Mus musculus: one gene and its partners. Each later gene encodes a partner of the first gene's protein in a complex. Links are inferred from orthologs where the notes say so. Each region holds a gene or a part of one and is shown on either strand. Other genes may lie near its edges. The genes, in order: Tgfbr1, Gdf11, Tgfb3 and Tgfb1.

Region 1 (4,203 bases):
ATATATATATATATATATATATACATATATATATAAAGAACTCAAGAAGTTGGACTCCAGAAAACCAAATAACCCTATTAAAAAATAGGGTACAGAACTAAACAAAGAATTCTCAACTGAGGAATACCAAATGGTTGAGAAGCACCTAAAAAAATGTTCAACATCCTTAGTCATCAGGGAAATGCAAATCAAAACAACCCTGAGATTCCACCTCACACCAGTCAGAATGGCTAAGATCAAAAACTCAGGTGACAGCAGATGCTGGTGAGGATGTGGAAAAAGAGGAATACTCCTCCATTGCTAGTAGGATTGCAAGCTGGTACAACTACGCTGGAAATCATTTTGGTGGTTCCTCGGAAAATTGGACATAGTACTTCCAGAAGATCCAACAATACCACTCCTGGGCATGTACGCAGAAGATGCTCCATCTTGTAATAAGGACACATGCTCCACTATGTTCATAGCAGCCTTATTTATAATAGCAAGAAGCTGGAAAGAACCCAGATGCCCCTCAGCAGAGGAATGGATACAGAAAATGTGGTACATTTACACAATGGAATACTTAGTACTCAGCTATTAAAAACAATTCATGAAATTCTTAGTCAGATGGATGTGTCTGGAGGATATCATCCTAAGTGAGGTAACCCAATCACAAAAGAACACACATGATATGCACTCACTGATAAGTGGATATTAGCCCAGAAGCTCAGAATACCCAATATACAATTTGCAAAACACATGAAACTCAAAAAGAAGGAAGACCAAAGTGTGGATACTTCAATCCTTCGGGGGAACAAAATTCCCATGGAAGGAGTTACAGAGACAAAGTTCAGAGCAGAGACTGAAGGAATGACCATCTAGAAACTGCCCCACCTGGGGATCCATCCCATAAACAACCACCAAACCCAGATACTATTGCAGATGCCAGCAAGAGCTTGCTGACAGGAACCTGTTATAGCATCTCTTGAGAGGCTCTGCCAGTGCCTGACTAATACAGAAGTGGATGCTCACAGTCATCTGTTGGACGGAGCACAGGGTCCCCAATGAAGGAGCTAGAGAAAGTTCCCAAGGAGCTGAAGAGGTTTTCAGCCCCATAGGAGGAACAACAATATGAATTAACCAGTACTCCTAGATCTCCCTGGGACTAAACCACCAATCAAAGAAAATACATGGTGGGACTCATGGCTTTAGCTGCATATGTAGCAGAGAACGGCCTAGTCAGTCATCAGTGGGAGGAGAGGCCCTTGGTCCTGTGAAGGTTCTATGCCCCAGTATAGGGGAATGCCAGGGCCAGGAAGTGGGAGTGGGTGGGTTGGGAAGCAGGGGGAGGAGGGAGAGGATAGGGGATTTTCAGAGAGGAAAGTAGGAAAGGGGATAACATTTGAAATGTACGTAAAGTACCTAATAAAAAAATACAGTTGGCAAAATAGTCTAGAAAGGATGTGCATACACAATGTATTAATATCCAGTGCTGGAATGCAGAGGTTGAAGAATCCCAAATTTGAGACCAGCCTGGATGAACTATGGTGATAAAACCCCGTCTCACAAAAAATTGAGGGAAAGAGTTAAAAATTTATAAATAAGCAAATAGAATAAAAAACAAAAGTAAACAAAGGAAGTCTTAGGCTTTAAAAAGTTGGTGGAAGGGCTGGTGTGATGGCTCAGTGGGTAAGAGTACCCGACTGCTCTTCCAAAGGTCCAGTGTTCAAGTCCCAGCAACCACATGGTGGCTCACAACCATCCGTAACGAGATCTGACGCCCTCTTCTGGTGTGTCTGAAGACAGCTACAGTGTACTTACATATAATGAATAAATAAATCTTAAAAAAAATAGTTGGTGGAAAAGTATATAATAAAATATGAGTCTGAAGCTTTGCAAGGAAGTTGATAATTTGTAAAAACTTTATTAACTATATTTATATATATTTCTTCTGCTATAATCCTGCAGTAAACTTGGAATAAGAAGAAAAGACCAAAGTGCTTTATAAAAAAATGAGTTATTAGAAGTTGTTTCAAATAATTGTTTACTTTTCTTGTTTACCTGAGGTGACAAGTGGGGAAGGAGGTCTAGAAGGGGCTTAGCTAATGAACCCAATGGTGAACTATAAGATAGGCTGGGGATACTCAGGAAGAGTGAGAGGGTACTGACAGCTGATGGTCTGACAAAGGAGACCAGGGAGGGAAGCCCTGTGTGACTAAATGATAGTAGTGGACACGGGGGTGGGGGTGGAGGGATATGGAGGGTTTGGGAACTGTGAGTGCCACCTACAGTGTTTTGTTTCTCTTGATGTTTATTTCATTGGAGGACCTTTTTCAGAAAAGCAGTCAGCTGGCCTTGGTCCTGTGGAGCTGGCAGCTGTCATTGCTGGTCCAGTCTGCTTCGTCTGCATTGCACTTATGCTGATGGTCTATATCTGCCATAACCGCACTGTCATTCACCACCGTGTGCCAAATGAAGAGGATCCATCACTAGATCGCCCTTTCATTTCAGAGGGCACCACCTTAAAAGATTTAATTTATGATATGACAACATCAGGGTCTGGATCAGGTAATGTTATTGTTTACCTTTTTCTTAAGTCTTAACTCATTTTTCCTATTTTATTTAATTAGTTGGTTGGGGCATTTGGCTTAATTTGTTAAAACTTTGGAATAGTATGAGTACTATACAGGATTGCAGCCTATTGAAAACTGTTGAGCTTGCTGTCTGACTGGATAGTTTAATATAGATAAATTGGAACTTGGTTTTACCATTGAAACAAGTCACAGATGTATAGGCTTCCACACATCCTCCCCTATATAACTTGAGCCTGGGAGGTAGAAAGTTGGACACCATTCTTACAAAGATAGAGCTGCAGCTAAAAGATGCATCTGCCATTCTGCAGCTCTGAGACTGTTCTGGAATTTGGAAGCTGATTAGCCTCTTTAACATGATACAAAATTGTTGTTTTAATAAAAAGTGTGTGTGTGTGTGTGTGTGTGTGTGTGTGTGTGTGTGTTTGCACACACATGCCTGCCAACCACAGTATCCATGTGGAAGTCAGAGGACAACTTGAAGGAGTCAGTTCTCTCTCTCCTCTGTATGGATCCTGGGAAACAAACTCGTGTTAGCAGGCTTGGTGGCAGATGATCAGACCAGTCTCGTTTATTGTTTAAAATTAAACTATTGCATCTTTAGTAACTTTTTACATTTAAAAGAAAATTTCAAACAAAGAAACAAAAATAGTAGTCCTGTGAATGAATGTTTGTTTTTCTTGGCTTTGTTTGTTGATTTTTGTGGACTCAGAAGTAGACTGGCTGATTGTCAGGATCATGCTGAAATAGATTTTAGCATAATAGTATTTTGCTTTTAGACCAAAGAGAAAATACCTTTTTTTCCCTTGTCTGTGGTTTGGAAGAAGACTAAGAGAAGTGTGCCTCCTTTACAGTTTTGGACTTTAGGGCTGGAGAGATGGCACAGTGCTTAAGAGCACTGCTGTTCTTCCAGAGGTCCTGAGTTCAAATCAAAATACTCACATGTTGGCTCTCACTGTCTTTAACTAATCTCTGGAACCAATGCCCTCTTCTGATGTGTAGATAATGCATATAGACAAAATACCTATATGTATAAAATACATAAGTAAATTATAAGAAAAACAATTTTGGAATTTGATGTGTGGCTAGCAATCAATAGGTTTAGACTCTAACACATGCTCTATGACTTTGGTCAGTTCATATTTCCTCTTTGTTTTTGTTTGTTTGTCTTTAAGCTTATAACTTGCATTTTTATTTGATATTTTCTTTATTTACATTTAAAATGTTATCTCCTTTCCCAGTTCCCTTCCCAGCCCCGAAGTCTCCTATCCCATACTCCCTCCCCCTGCTTCTATGAGGATGTTCACCCACCCAGTCACTCCCGCCTCACCACCCTAACATTCCCCTACACTGGGGCATCGAGCCTTCAGAGGACCACGAGCCTCTCCTCCCATTGATGCCTGACAAGGCCATCCTCTGCTACATATGCAGCTGGAGCCATGGGTCCCTCCATGTGTACTCTTTGGTTGGTGGTTTAGTCCCTGGGAGCTCTGGGGGTGGAGGGGGGGAGGTCAGGTTGGTTGATATTGTTGTTCTTCTTATAAGGTTGCAAACCCCTTCAGCTCCTTCAGTCCTTTCTCTAACTCCTCCATTGGGGACCCCATGATCAGTCCAATGGTTGGCTGAGAGCATC
Region 2 (4,916 bases), on another chromosome or scaffold:
TACTGCTGCCCCAGGGAATCCACATATACATCTGTGTATCTGCAGTCATGTTTCTAGGGGACAAGATGTAAGGAAAGGAAGAGGTTGAAGATGATAAGATAAGAATGAAGAGACAGAATGAAGACAGGTTAGACCAAGACCAGCAGAGGAACGGAACAAGTAGATCACAGTAATGGGAGCAAATGTTTGGGAAATGGAAACACTGGGTAGACTGGACTGGAGTGGGTAAGGTAAGAGGGCAAAGGTGGGACCCTCGTGGGGTAAAGAAGAGATGGAAAGGTGCAGAAGAAGGAACAAAGAAGCAGGTAAAGCTATGGAGCTCTGGTGGGGAGGGGAAGGGGCCACATCTGTGTTGGATTGATTTGGTTGGTGGCAGGCAGCAGGTCAGGTTTAGGAGGCGGTGCTGGTGGGGGAGAGAGGTCACTGCACTATTTTCAGCAAAGGCCCAACCCCCTCTCTGCCTACAGCCTCCACCCCACCACACACCCTCTCCCAACTCAGGCTGGATGGCCCAGGGGCAGGAGGTTGGGCGAGAGGGCAGGGGCCTCTTAGCGTGCACAGGAGAGACAAACTGAGGGGCAGGGCTTGGCTCCTAGAAGAGCAGGGGGCTGGGTTCCCAGGGATGAAGGCTGGGGTGGGAGAGTGAGAGGGTAGAGGGAACTAGGGCAGGCCGAACAGCCTAGGAAAGGTGGGGGCTGGGGTCCGGGGTTGGCTGGGGGAGGGGAGGCAGGGGGAGGGGAGCAGAGGCCATCTCTGCTGACAAACACCTCCCCCGATTAGCAGAGCACAAGTCTCTTATTAAAGCGGGTCCCTGGGGATTAGACTATAAAAGTCTCTTTTTCCTTTTCCCCCCTCTCCTCTCTCCCTCCCCTCCCCTCTACTCCCCCTCCCTCTCTTAAGGTCGCAGCTAGACTCTTAAAGGGGAAGTACAATACCTGGTTTGAAACCCAGTTCCTGGGTTACCTAAGTCCTGGAGTGGCACTAAAATGGAAGTCAGGGTGAGACCCAACTTCATCTACTGGTACAATCCCACCCCCAGGCTTAATGGCTACTGCCCAATTTGTGCATTCAGAGTCCCTTCACTTCCTGCTGCTCTCCACTACCAGAGTTAATTCTGGACTCAAGCCTTCTGGTTACAGGAGGCTAGGGATAGTGAAGGCAATGGGAAGCCTGCAGCTGGGTCACTCACCCTGGAAATACACACTTTACATCACACAGAGCAGAGTATCTTTTCTCTATATATCCTGCATCTTCCAGAAAATTTTGTCATTCATTATTTCCCTACAACTGTTTTCTAGAATCTTTTCCCTATCCCTGCCCTTAGTCAATCAAAGACTGACCCTGGTTTCCAAAAGTAGAAGCAATAAGAACAAGGGAGCCTGAGAACCCAAGATCAGATCTCTGTGCACACACACACACACACACACACACACACACACTCACACACATACACATACACATACACACGAGAGAGAGAGAGAGAGAGAGAGAGAGAGAGAGAGAGAGAGAGAGAGAGAGAGAGAGAGAGAGAGAGTTTCCTGACTCTGAGTTTTCTTTACAATCCTAACCAAGTTGGAGTTGAATTCTGCAGAAACTGGGTGGCAAGTGCCAGGCTCTCAACCTTCCAAATGCACACCTGGGTTCCTGTACCTCTACCATGGGGGTGGGCCACTAGGATTTCCCGCAACCCCCAGCTTTTTATGACCCATCTGCCAATAAACCAGCCCCCCCTTCTGTTCAGAGCCATAAAACCAAAGGAGGGGGGGCTTGCCAAACCACTAGGGAATAGAGAAAGCCTGGTTCCCTGGAGTTGGGGGGGGGGGGGACTACAGTCAGTGGGGGAGGGGAAAGGGAGTCACCTGACCCTAGGGAGAGAAGGCAGTGGGGGCGGTAGTATTGGCCTGGATTTTCCAGGCCATAAAATTTCAAAGCCGCTCCTGTCTATCAGAGTGTTCATCCTCCGTTTGGCCAGGGGCTCGGATGCCTGGGTTCTCCCATCCCCCTCATCTAGTTCTTTCTCCCTGGGTCTTCTTTGGCTCCAGCTGTGGGTAGGACAGGGAGTGAGCACGCTAAGATGAGAGTAACCAAATGATACTCGTTAAGTGGCAAGCGCAGTGGAGTTGAGTTATTTGAGCTCTTTCGGTACCAGGAAGGAACAGCTCTTCTAGGTCCTAGGGGATACCCAGTGCGAGATCAGGTGCAGAAAGGAGAGGTGTCAGCTGAGTTGCTGAGACGTACACCGGGTTTGGGTCCTATGCCATGGCCTTAGAGGAACACTTAGTTTTTCCGAAAGCCGGTGGGCGCCTTCCGGAGCACCGGGCAAGGAGTTGATGCTGGTGCCAGAGCAGTGGGAAGATGGCACTGCGGCCCAGCTGAGACTGCACGGGTCACGGAAGCTCCCCACCTAACGCTCCAGAAAAGTCACTGTAGGGTGCCAGTTTCTAGGACTACTTCAACTTGAATCTTTTTCTCACAAGGGATGGAAAGCAATAGCTCACAACCTGCCTGGTTTGGCCCCCCTCCCCCAACGCGCCATCCTCCACCCCCCCACCCTAGAACGGGGCGTGCACTCAACTCCGCTGCCCATCTTCTCCGCTCAAAAAGTTGTGTGGAGTGGCCCGGCTCCCCAATCCGTCAAGTTTTCGCAGAAAGGGCTTCCGGGTCCTTCCCGGACTGCACCGCACCGCGCGCACCCCGCAGCCCACTTACTCTCCTGGGCCATGCTTATGACCGTCTCGGTGGTAGCGTGGTACTCGTCCTCTTCCAAGAAGTCCTCAGGCTGCAGCGCGTCGCCTTGGAAGTCGTGCAGATCCAGGATCTGCTGCAGCGGCGGCGCCTTGGGCAGCAGCTGCTTCACTACCTCCCGGCTGATGTTGGGCGCCTCCTTGAGCCGCAGTTTGCTCAGGATCTGCGACTTGATGCTCTCTAGGCGCAGCTCGCGGCTGTGCTGCCGCCACACGCACACGGGGCAGCCGTCCGGCTCCGGCGGAGCGGACGGGGCCGGCCGGCTCGAGCGCTCCCCCCCGACCCCGGCCGCCGCCGCCGCTGCCGCCGCCGCCGCCGCGGGGCCCTCGGCCGCCTCCCCCCGGGGCCGCAGCTCCAGGGCGAGGAGCAGGAAGCCCAGCAGCAGCGGGGCCGCGAGCACCATGCTGCAGGGGAGGGGAGGACTGGGGGGCGGGGACGCCGGAGTCCCGCGGGGAGGGGGCGGAGGGAAGAGGGAGGAGGAGGGGGTCCGGGCGGCGCGGGATTGGGGGCTGCCCGGCCGAGGGGGGGCCGGGGGCCGGGGGCGGCGGGCGCACGGGCGGGGCGGGCGGGCGGCCGGGGCGGGCAGCTGGGGGGGCCCAAGCCCGGGCCGGGCCCTTTATAGCCCCGGCCCCCGTGTCGTCAGCGGCCGCGATTGGCTGCGGAGCCAACAAAAGAGGTAGCGCTGTCATCCGAGGCGAGAGAGGGAGCCGGAGAGAACCGAGGAAAAGAGAGAGAGAGAGAGAGAGAGAGAGAGAGAGAGAGAGAGAGAGAACACGAGCGAGCACGGGTCCAGAGAAAGATGAAGAGACCGAAAGATGAGGGGGAGGGGGGGAGAGGCCGTGAGGGACCGAGTCAGAGAGATCGGGGACAGACGGAGCGGTGGGTAGGGGTTGGGGGTGGGGGAAGAGGCAGATCCAAAGATACCCAGATAGGAAGGGAAGAGGGAGAGACAAAAGAGAGAAAAGAAGTCACAGAAGGGAGAGACTTAGCTAGAGAGCAAGAGCGAAGACTGAAGACGACCAGAAAAACTAGTGGGACAGTTAAGAGTGGAGAGAGTCAAAGACAAAGGTAGAGCGCAAAGAGGGGTGGCTAACCGAATTCTACGGAGTCGAACAGGAGAGAGCAGGAGAGGTGGGCAAGAGAACGGATGGGTCAGAGGGAGCTGATGGTACCCTGCGCAAGAGGGAGAGGCAGAGACAGGGGATACCTTGGAGGTAGCAACCCCTGAGGAGGCAGGTGCAGAGAAAAGACCAGGGGAGGAAGTAACACACACAAGTCAGCCTTGGTTGGAGCGCAAAGAGACACCCAAGGGGAAGAGGTGGAGATGTGAAGAATAGCCTCAGCTACCAGAGGTAGCCCAGGATGTTTAAAGAACCCATAAAATGGAACATCAGGCTGATTTATCACAGGGATGAAGGCGGTCAGGAGAGGAAGAGGCCAGGGACAAGCTGAGAAGTTGACAAGTACTGAGCCCGGAAGAAAACTATCTAGGAGGCCTGTGATCTTGAGATTGAGGTTTAATAGAACAAAGAGAGTGATCGTGATCGGGCTGGAAAGGGTGGGAGCCATGAGGGGAAGAGCCAGATGAGGGATGAGGTAGGGCTTGAAAGTGGTGCTTGGCGAGGAATCTGGACCCTCTCTCTGGGTTCCTAGCTACGTCTTTGTGTTTGTAAGGTCTTACATGTCTGAGAAAGCTTGAAGTTTTAGGCGTAAGGGTAAGAGCAGGGTCTATACTCAGATGTCTAATGTGGAGATAGCAAACCCCAAGGGGAGCCACTCTGGAATGGGACCAGCCATGGTCTTCAGGTGTGGTCCTAAGCGCAGCCAGACAGCTCAGTACACGAGGAAGACAGTGTACAGGTGTGCTCAGCCACTACTGCTGGTTCCCTCTTCCCAGGTCTCTGTTTCTCTTTTTCCCCCTCTTCCCCTCCCCTAAACCCTTTCTTCTCCTTTTCCTCTATCCTCTGAGACAGAGTCTCAGATGCATCCCAGGCTGGCCTCAAACTCAGTTATCCTCCTGCCTCAGCCTCCAGAGAGCTCTCTGTATAAGCATGCCTTGACCCATGTCTCTGAAGATCCCTTGGCAAACTGAAAATGTTAGGGGGTTGAGATTTGCTCTTCCAGTGTCTCGCGCAGTGTTCACTGAACAAAATGTATAAATGTCAGTAGGA
Region 3 (2,900 bases), on another chromosome or scaffold:
AGCGCGCGCGCACCTCCCCATGAAAACACACATGGAGGCTAGAGGTGCCTCCTTCTCCCTCTTATTTCTTGAGACAGGCTCTCTCATTGGACCTGGAACTTGTGACGTGAGCTAGACTGACTGGCCAGAGAGCCTCCAGGATTCACCCGTCTCCTCCACTTCCCCCCTCTCCAGGACTGAGATACCACATGGCACTACTGTGCCTCCATTTCATATGGGTGCCAGGGAGCTAAACTCACAGACACTTACCCACTGAACCATCTCTCCCCAGCCACAAGATCCGTATAAATGTTCACACATCTAAGCCATTGCCTCCGTGTTTGAGAATTCTGCACCCTGCAGGAGGGAAGTGTGCCCGGGAAGTGGTGCAGTTTTCTCAGTGAGCCAGCTCAGTCTACTCATCCCAAACAACGATGGAGAGAGGCTCTGCCTGAATTCCAGTTATCTCTGGTGAGTAGATGCCAGTGTGCAGTGAAAGGAATATCTCTGGAGTCCAAACATACACCTTAAAGTGAGGTCTTTACTGTTTTAGAAGAACCTTCCAGGAGATGAAGTCATCCATGATTCCCCAAAAATATTTATTTATACAAAGATTCTGAGAGTAATATTTGTATTTGTCTTTATACTTCAGTCTGTGCATCTGGGGCCGAGTCATCATGTCAGACATGGGAGGCTCCCCGGATACTTGGCATGTAGCACCTGCTTCCAGGAACACCTGGGGAGCAACGGGGTCTAGGGTAGGAGGGAAATGGCGCCCCAGGCTATGTGGACTCTGAATCCGGAGAATACACCCTGACCCGGAAGGTGTCTAGCCAAATATCCAAGGGGAAATGCGGCCAAGAAGGAAGGCAGGAGGAGGGGCCCCCAGGGAATACATGAGAGAACCAATTCTGACCTCTGCTTTTGAGTCCAGCATCTCTAAGGGACCTGAGATAGCTAGTTGCTGGCCCAGAAACTAATTACATGATCTGTGATGACTCATGATGCTGATCGAGGTGAAAAGACAGTTGCAGAAAGAACGGATTGTCCTTAATTCCAGGCAGTGCAAGATATGATTCCAGGGGACTTTGGCTTGGTAAACTGAAGAAAAATGCTTGGCCGCCTCTAACGATATCCCAATTCCCTAGAGCAGATGTACTGCAGTGAGCAAAGCTGACCTCAGACCTGAAATGCCTTCCAGTCTGGCCTTCACCTGACTGACCACTCTACCCTTCATCTTTTGTAGGGTAGCCCGAGGCCCATTGCCACTCACAATGTCCACTCGCTATCCGTTCTCTACCCCACCACCTCTGCCTGCACCACAGAAATTCCATGTTCTCAACAGTGTGCCTTCCCCTAACCAACCCACACTTTCTTTACCACAGTGATTCTCAAAGCTAGCAGAAAGAAATGTTCCAGAAGGAAGCCTCCCTCTCGGCCTTTCGCCGGGAGCCAGGGCTTCTGGGCTCCAGGCCTCTAGGGTGAGGTCTGTCGCTTTGGTTTTCCAAGGAGCAGCAGTCTGTGGTGGCAGTTTTCCCTCCTCTGTGGCAGGCTGGCCTCAGCTGCACTTACACGACTTCACCACCATGTTGGACAGCTGCTCCACCTTGGGGGTTCTGCCCACATAGTACAAGATGGTCAGGGGCTCCAGGTCCTGGGGGACGCAGCATGGCGAGGCAGACGCCTCTGGGTTCAGGGTGTTGTATAGTCCAAGCACCTGTGGGGTGGAGCCACACATTTAGCAGGAAAAAGCCAAGCCTTGAGCCTGTGACCCAGAAACCATGCAAGTTGTGGGGGCTACCCTAAGCAGGCAGAGTGGCCATGGAGATCTGCTTAAAAGGGATTGTGGGAACTGTTTGAATAAGAGACGAGCTGCAGTCATCCAGTATGGCAGAAGGCATAACCCATGGACTGCATTATGTTCCTAACTGAAGCACCCGAAGGAGCAGTTGATAAGAAACTCCTCCAAAAGGTCTTCCTGTCTGTAAGTTTCCACATTGGTGGGTAATGTGCACACTCAGCACTGCTTTGGCACATTTAGTAGTTGTAAGAATGTGTGTGCCCCAGACGGGATGTAGCAGTGATGTGCTGCCTGGAACTGGCTCACAGCCTACCGCCCTACTCAGTATTCCCCACCCCCCGAACCCCAGGAAGGTAGGTTGCTGAGGCTGCGGACCCTCCGCCCTTTCTATCGCTATTCCTTTCCTACATGCGTCATTCTGTCTTAACGGAGGTAGAAACTTCTCTGGGCCCCACATCTTACCAACCAGGTGCATACATCTGTGACACAGAGTGACATGCGACAGCTGAATAACTTTCATAGTACAGAAGCTTTAGACAAATAAAAAGGATGCTTGAAACTATGGTGGGAACTCTGCATGTGTGTGCACATGGCTGTGTGCATGTTCAGGTAAGTGTGTTTGCTAGAGACTGAATCCAGAGCATGGCACACACTAAGCATACGTTTTACCCATGTGCTAGTCCCCGTGGTAGGGATTTAAATTGCAGAGTGCAGCTGAGTAGCAGTGGACCAGCCTGCCAAGATCAGAACGTTGTTACAGGGATTTTCTCATCCAAGATTACCATTCATTCAACATTCAATCCTTCATTCACTCACACTGGCAAGTAGTCCGGCCAGGGGAGCCCCAGTATCCAAAGAGCATGCGCCTAGCTCATACCGTGCTATGGGTTGTGTCTGCGCTGCGGAGGTATGGGCAAGGGCCTGAGCAGAAGTTGGCATAGTAACCCTTAGGTTCGTGGACCCATTTCCAGCCTAGATCCTGCCGGAAGTCAATATAAAGGGGGCGTACACAGCAGTTCTCCTCCAGGTTGCTATGAAGAAAACATATATAGGAAATCAACAAAAAGGGAGCATGATGATAAAAGAAGTCTCATATGTGTCTTCCTGTCTCCCATTAAGA
Region 4 (4,203 bases), on another chromosome or scaffold:
AGAAGCAGTGCGTTACAATATAAACGGAATACCCCTTTTCAGAAACGTTAGGGACCAGAAACATTCTAGACTGTATAGCTTTTTGGGGTAAGGGGATATTTACATAGACTTTACATATTTATTTTATTTTTATTACTATTCATATTTCTTGAGACAGGATCTATGTATTTGCCTGAAATTTGTTTGTCACTGGCCTCAAACTCAGAGATCTGCCTGCCTCTGCTTCCTGAATGCTGGGATCAGAGACATGCACCACACCTGTCAACTTGAAAGAAAGAAAGAAAGAGAGAAAGAAAGAAAGAAAGAAAGAAAGAAAGAAAGGGAGAGAGAGAGAGAGAGAGAGAGAGAGCGAGCCGGGCGTGGTGGCACACGCCTTTAATCCCAGCACTCGGTCGGCAGAGGCAGGTGAATTTCTGAGTTCGAGGCCAGCCTGGTCTACAGAGTGAGTTCCAGGACAGCCAGGGCTATACAAAGAAACCCTGTCTCGGAAAAAAAAAAAAAAAAAGTTTTATGTGTAGGAGTATTTCTCTGAACATGTGTGTACACACACCACATACGTGCAGAGCCCATGGGGGCCAGGAGGAGGCGTTAGATTCCCTGGAACGGGACTATGGATTGCTGGGAGCAGCCATGTAGGTTGCTGGGAAATGAATCTGCGTGCTCTGAAAGAGCAGCTGTGCTCCTCATCCTTCCAGATGCCCCACCCCCTTTCTCGAGGCAGGGTCTGATTGGTTGCCACAAACACACGACGTACCTATCAATGACTTTGACCTCCTGCGGTTCCCGTTCCTACTCCAGCGCTAGGATTACAGCCTTGCTCACCATGGCCAGCGAGATTTTGGACTTCTGAATTATGGATTCTTAACTAATTCGCATCTCCACAACTGTAAATGACAACAGTTGCTGACTCGTGGCCAATTTCATTCCACCTACTTTCTTTCCGCCACTGTAGTTTTTTCATTTGTTTAATGAACTTTTGTAGAAAAGTTCACTTTCTCTTAGAAAGTGAGGAATATTTTACAATTTAAACATGAATCAAAAGTATAAATCAATATAAAATATAAATCAGTGGTAGAGCCCCTGCCTAGAATCCCCCAGTGAGGGGCTGGGGGCGTGGCTTGGTGGTAGAGCCCCTGCCTAGAATCCCCCAGTGAGGGGCTGGGGGCGTGGCTTGGTGGTAGAGCCCCTGCCTAGAATCCCCCAGTGAGGGGCTGGGGGCGTGGCTCAGTGGTAGAGTGCTTCTTTACTATGTACAAGGTACTGGGTTTTCTCAGTATCACAAATGCAGCAGCAGCAACAACAAAATCCTAGGGAGGGTTGGTTTTTTTGTTTTGTTTTGTTTTGTTTTTTTTTTTAATGTATATTGGTGTTTTACCTGCACTTATGCATGTGTGAGGGCATCAAATCCTCTAGAGCTAGAATTATAGACAGGTGTGATCCTTATTATGGGTGGTGGGAACTGAACGCAAGTCCTCTGGAAAAGCAGCCAGTGCTTTTAACCACTGAGCCATCTCTCCAGCCCCCTTCCCCAGGCAAAAATTTAACATTAAATCACTAAAATCAAATACTACTCAAGGTTCATGTTTCCCACTGTGTCCCATAAACATCTTTTTCCCTTTCCTTTTCTTTCCTCCTCCTCCAACCTCTCAGCCCTCTCTTCCTCTCTCTTCTAGTAGTGTGGACTATATATCCTCCCCTCCCTTCTTTGCACTGTATCTGTTGAAGAAATGACTAGGTTTCCCACCATCTGCACTTTGCTGGGTGCGTCCCTGTGGTGCTGGCTAATGTTGTTAGTCTGTCCCTCTGTTGCAGTTCCCTGCAACATGGGAGTTGGAGCTACAGTTCCCATCAGATCATGGTTGATGTGTCTGATAGGCCTTGCTCGATGGCATGGTGTTCTTCCATGCAAAATTTTGCTTGTCACAGCCGGGGACTTGGCTCAGGGAATTAAGTGCTCGCTGTGCAAGCATGAAGACCTGGTTTCGGATTCCCAGAGCCCACATATACATCAGGCATAGGCAAAACAAATATAAGAGAGAGACAGGCAGACAGACACAGTCAGTCAGTCAGACAGACAGACAAAGAGATTTTCATGATTCCCTGAGTTTGTTTCCCAGTATGTGAGGAACAGAGTTTACATAGCTTCCTGCATCTCTTAGTAACCTGCAGTATGAAGACCGGACATCTGATCCTATGTGAAGGCTGACAACCAAAGGTGAAGACAAGGAGGAGGAGGAGAAGGAGGAGGAGGAGGAGGAGGAGGAGGAGGAGGAGGCCGGCCAGCCAAGGACCGATATGTAACACAGAACTCTATAAAGTCTGAAGCAGGTAAGGGATAGGTCAGCTCACTGCTCTCATCTCTCAACACCCCTGAATTTCATGCCTTCTAGGATCTAACGTTCCAATTTCTTTCTCTCATCCACAGTACCGAGGCTTAATATGAGTCTACCATTCTGGAACTGGGTGGTTGTGTGACATCTGTAATCCCAGGACAGAGAATTCAAGACAGTCTGGGCTAAAGGAGTGAATCTGAGGCCAGCCTGGATTACACAGCAAAGCCCTGTCTCGAACAAAACCAAACAAAGGAGAACTAACAAGATGGCTCAGCAGGCAAAGGTGCTCGCAGCCAGGCCCAATGACCTGAGTCTTATATCTGGGACTCACATGGTGGAAGGAGAACGGACTCCCAACAGTTGTCCTCTGACCGTCACACAGTTTTGTGGCATGGATGCCCCTACATACACACAGACACACACACACAATGGCCCTACACACACACAGAGATATAACTTAAAAACAATGACCAAAAAGCTTTGGCCCTTGGTACGGGCATTCTGGATACACTAGGACGCCCACTCTCTGACTCTGAGAGATCTTGTCTCCTCAGAGTTCCCTATCTCAGTACTATATTCCAACACTTCACACTTCCAAGCCTACATACATCTCAGAAGTTCTATCTTCTCACCTCCTCAGGGTGCACCACTGCCAGATAAAGCGCTGGCCCTCAGGAAACTCACTTTCTGGCTTTCTCCACCTCCACTCTAGATGCTAACATCTCCCTGCCAGCCCTGCCATTCTGAGACCCAGGATTTGCCGCTCTCATCCACCAGCACTGGAGACCACCATCTGCCAAGAGTGTGGGAACCCAGTGCAGACCACCTTCTGATTCGGAACCCAAATGTTTGGATCCCAGCACTCCAGCTTTCCTGGGGTCAACACGCTCCATGGCTCACAGTAAATTCTTTCATTAGCATCCCAAAGTGGCAGAAGCCTGGCAAGAATTTTAAAACCCAACCAGACAACCTTCCAACAGACTTCCAACTCTTGTTGAATTCCCTGATCCCAGCACTCCAGGAAGAAAACACCCCTCATTCTAGGACTCTCAGCTGCCCACAGAACCAGGAACTTGTCCCCAAGCCCTGCAGGCATACATGGTGGCACACCAGTCCACAGGCTGCAGTCAGCCCGCAGCCTGCACAGCCTCGGAGAGAGACAGTGTTTACCTGAAGCAATAGTTGGTATCCAGGGCTCTCCGGTGCCGTGAGCTGTGCAGGTGCTGGGCCCTTTCCAGGGGGGTGGCCATGAGGAGCAGGAAGGGCCGGTTCATGTCATGGATGGTGCCCAGGTCGCCCCGACGTTTGGGGCTGATCCCTGTTGGGTTTGGATGTTGTGGTGAAGGACATACACACACTTAGAGGGATGGGTGAGATTTCACACACATGCACGTGCACACAGACCATGAGGGGCCTGTGTCAGGATGGACCCGGGAAGTTAGCTCACCGTTGATTTCCACGTGGAGTTTGTTATCTTTGCTGTCACAAGAGCAGTGAGCGCTGAATCGAAAGCCCTGTATTCCGTCTGCGGGAGAGGAAGGGAGTCTGAGGATATGAGGGGGAAGAGGGGACAGGAAACTGCCAGCCTTGGGGGCTCCCGGCTAGTCACCCCACACTTCATTCTTGCTCCTATTCTTTGAATTGCTGGACCCTTCTCCCCTTATTCAGGGCTCAGCTCAAACATCAACCCCTCGGGAAAGGCTCTGAAAGAGACACGTCCTTCTCCAAATGTGGCATCTGTTCCCTTTCTCCACGGCAAGCAGGGGCTCTGACACCTCTGCATGAATATTTACTTCTTTGGTCTCAGTAGAAAAACATAGCTGGGCGGTGGTGGCGCACGCCTTTAATCCCAGCACTTGGGAGGCAAAGG

The links.
Region 2: the proteins of Tgfbr1 (region 1) and Gdf11 are in contact, whole or in part, in a crystal structure (PDB 6MAC), measured with the Homo sapiens proteins. The link is inferred for Mus musculus from reciprocal best matches to the Homo sapiens genes TGFBR1 and GDF11. Residues at the interface, in NP_004603.1 of Homo sapiens: Ile78, Pro79, Asp81, Arg82, Phe84, Ala87, Pro88, Ser89, Ser90, Lys91; in NP_005802.1 of Homo sapiens: Phe322, Ala324, Phe325, Gly326, Trp327, Trp329, Ile330, Met382, Tyr384, Phe385, Asn386, Asp387, Ile392, Ile396, Pro397, Met399.
Region 3: the proteins of Tgfbr1 (region 1) and Tgfb3 are in contact, whole or in part, in a crystal structure (PDB 9B9F), measured with the Homo sapiens proteins. The link is inferred for Mus musculus from reciprocal best matches to the Homo sapiens genes TGFBR1 and TGFB3. Residues at the interface, in NP_004603.1 of Homo sapiens: His39, Leu40, Thr42, Lys43, Phe55, Met70, Ile78, Phe84, Val85, Lys91; in NP_001316868.1 of Homo sapiens: Ala301, Leu302, Asp303, Asn305, Tyr306, Tyr350, Leu351, Ser353, Thr357, Thr360, Leu364, Leu368.
Region 4: the proteins of Tgfbr1 (region 1) and Tgfb1 are in contact, whole or in part, in a crystal structure (PDB 3KFD), measured with the Homo sapiens proteins. The link is inferred for Mus musculus from reciprocal best matches to the Homo sapiens genes TGFBR1 and TGFB1. Residues at the interface, in NP_004603.1 of Homo sapiens: His39, Leu40, Thr42, Lys43, Phe55, Asn68, Met70, Ile78, Phe84, Val85; in NP_000651.3 of Homo sapiens: Ala279, Leu280, Asp281, Asn283, Tyr284, Tyr328, Ile329, Trp330, Gln335, Lys338.

Annotation. Positions count from the first base shown.
Region 1 is NC_000070.6:47,390,943-47,395,145, forward strand, and holds part of Tgfbr1 (TGF-beta receptor type-1 isoform 1 precursor), read left to right. Parts: intron 1-2,304; coding exon 2,305-2,547; intron 2,548-4,203. UniProt on the Homo sapiens protein: Transmembrane serine/threonine kinase forming with the TGF-beta type II serine/threonine kinase receptor, TGFBR2, the non-promiscuous receptor for the TGF-beta cytokines TGFB1, TGFB2 and TGFB3.
Region 2 is NC_000076.6:128,888,538-128,893,453, forward strand, and holds the start of Gdf11 (growth/differentiation factor 11 preproprotein), read right to left. Parts: upstream 3,182-4,916; 5' UTR 3,149-3,181; coding exon 2,710-3,148; intron 1-2,709. UniProt on the Homo sapiens protein: Secreted signal that acts globally to regulate anterior/posterior axial patterning during development. May play critical roles in patterning both mesodermal and neural tissues. It is required for proper vertebral patterning and orofacial development.
Region 3 is NC_000078.6:86,056,243-86,059,142, forward strand, and holds the end of Tgfb3 (transforming growth factor beta-3 proprotein precursor), read right to left. Parts: intron 2,812-2,900; coding exon 2,658-2,811; intron 1,697-2,657; coding exon 1,538-1,696; 3' UTR 501-1,537; downstream 1-500. UniProt on the Homo sapiens protein: Transforming growth factor beta-3 proprotein: Precursor of the Latency-associated peptide (LAP) and Transforming growth factor beta-3 (TGF-beta-3) chains, which constitute the regulatory and active subunit of TGF-beta-3, respectively.
Region 4 is NC_000073.6:25,696,573-25,700,775, reverse strand, and holds part of Tgfb1 (transforming growth factor beta-1 proprotein preproprotein), read right to left. Parts: intron 3,859-4,203; coding exon 3,781-3,858; intron 3,652-3,780; coding exon 3,504-3,651; intron 1-3,503. UniProt on the Homo sapiens protein: Transforming growth factor beta-1 proprotein: Precursor of the Latency-associated peptide (LAP) and Transforming growth factor beta-1 (TGF-beta-1) chains, which constitute the regulatory and active subunit of TGF-beta-1, respectively.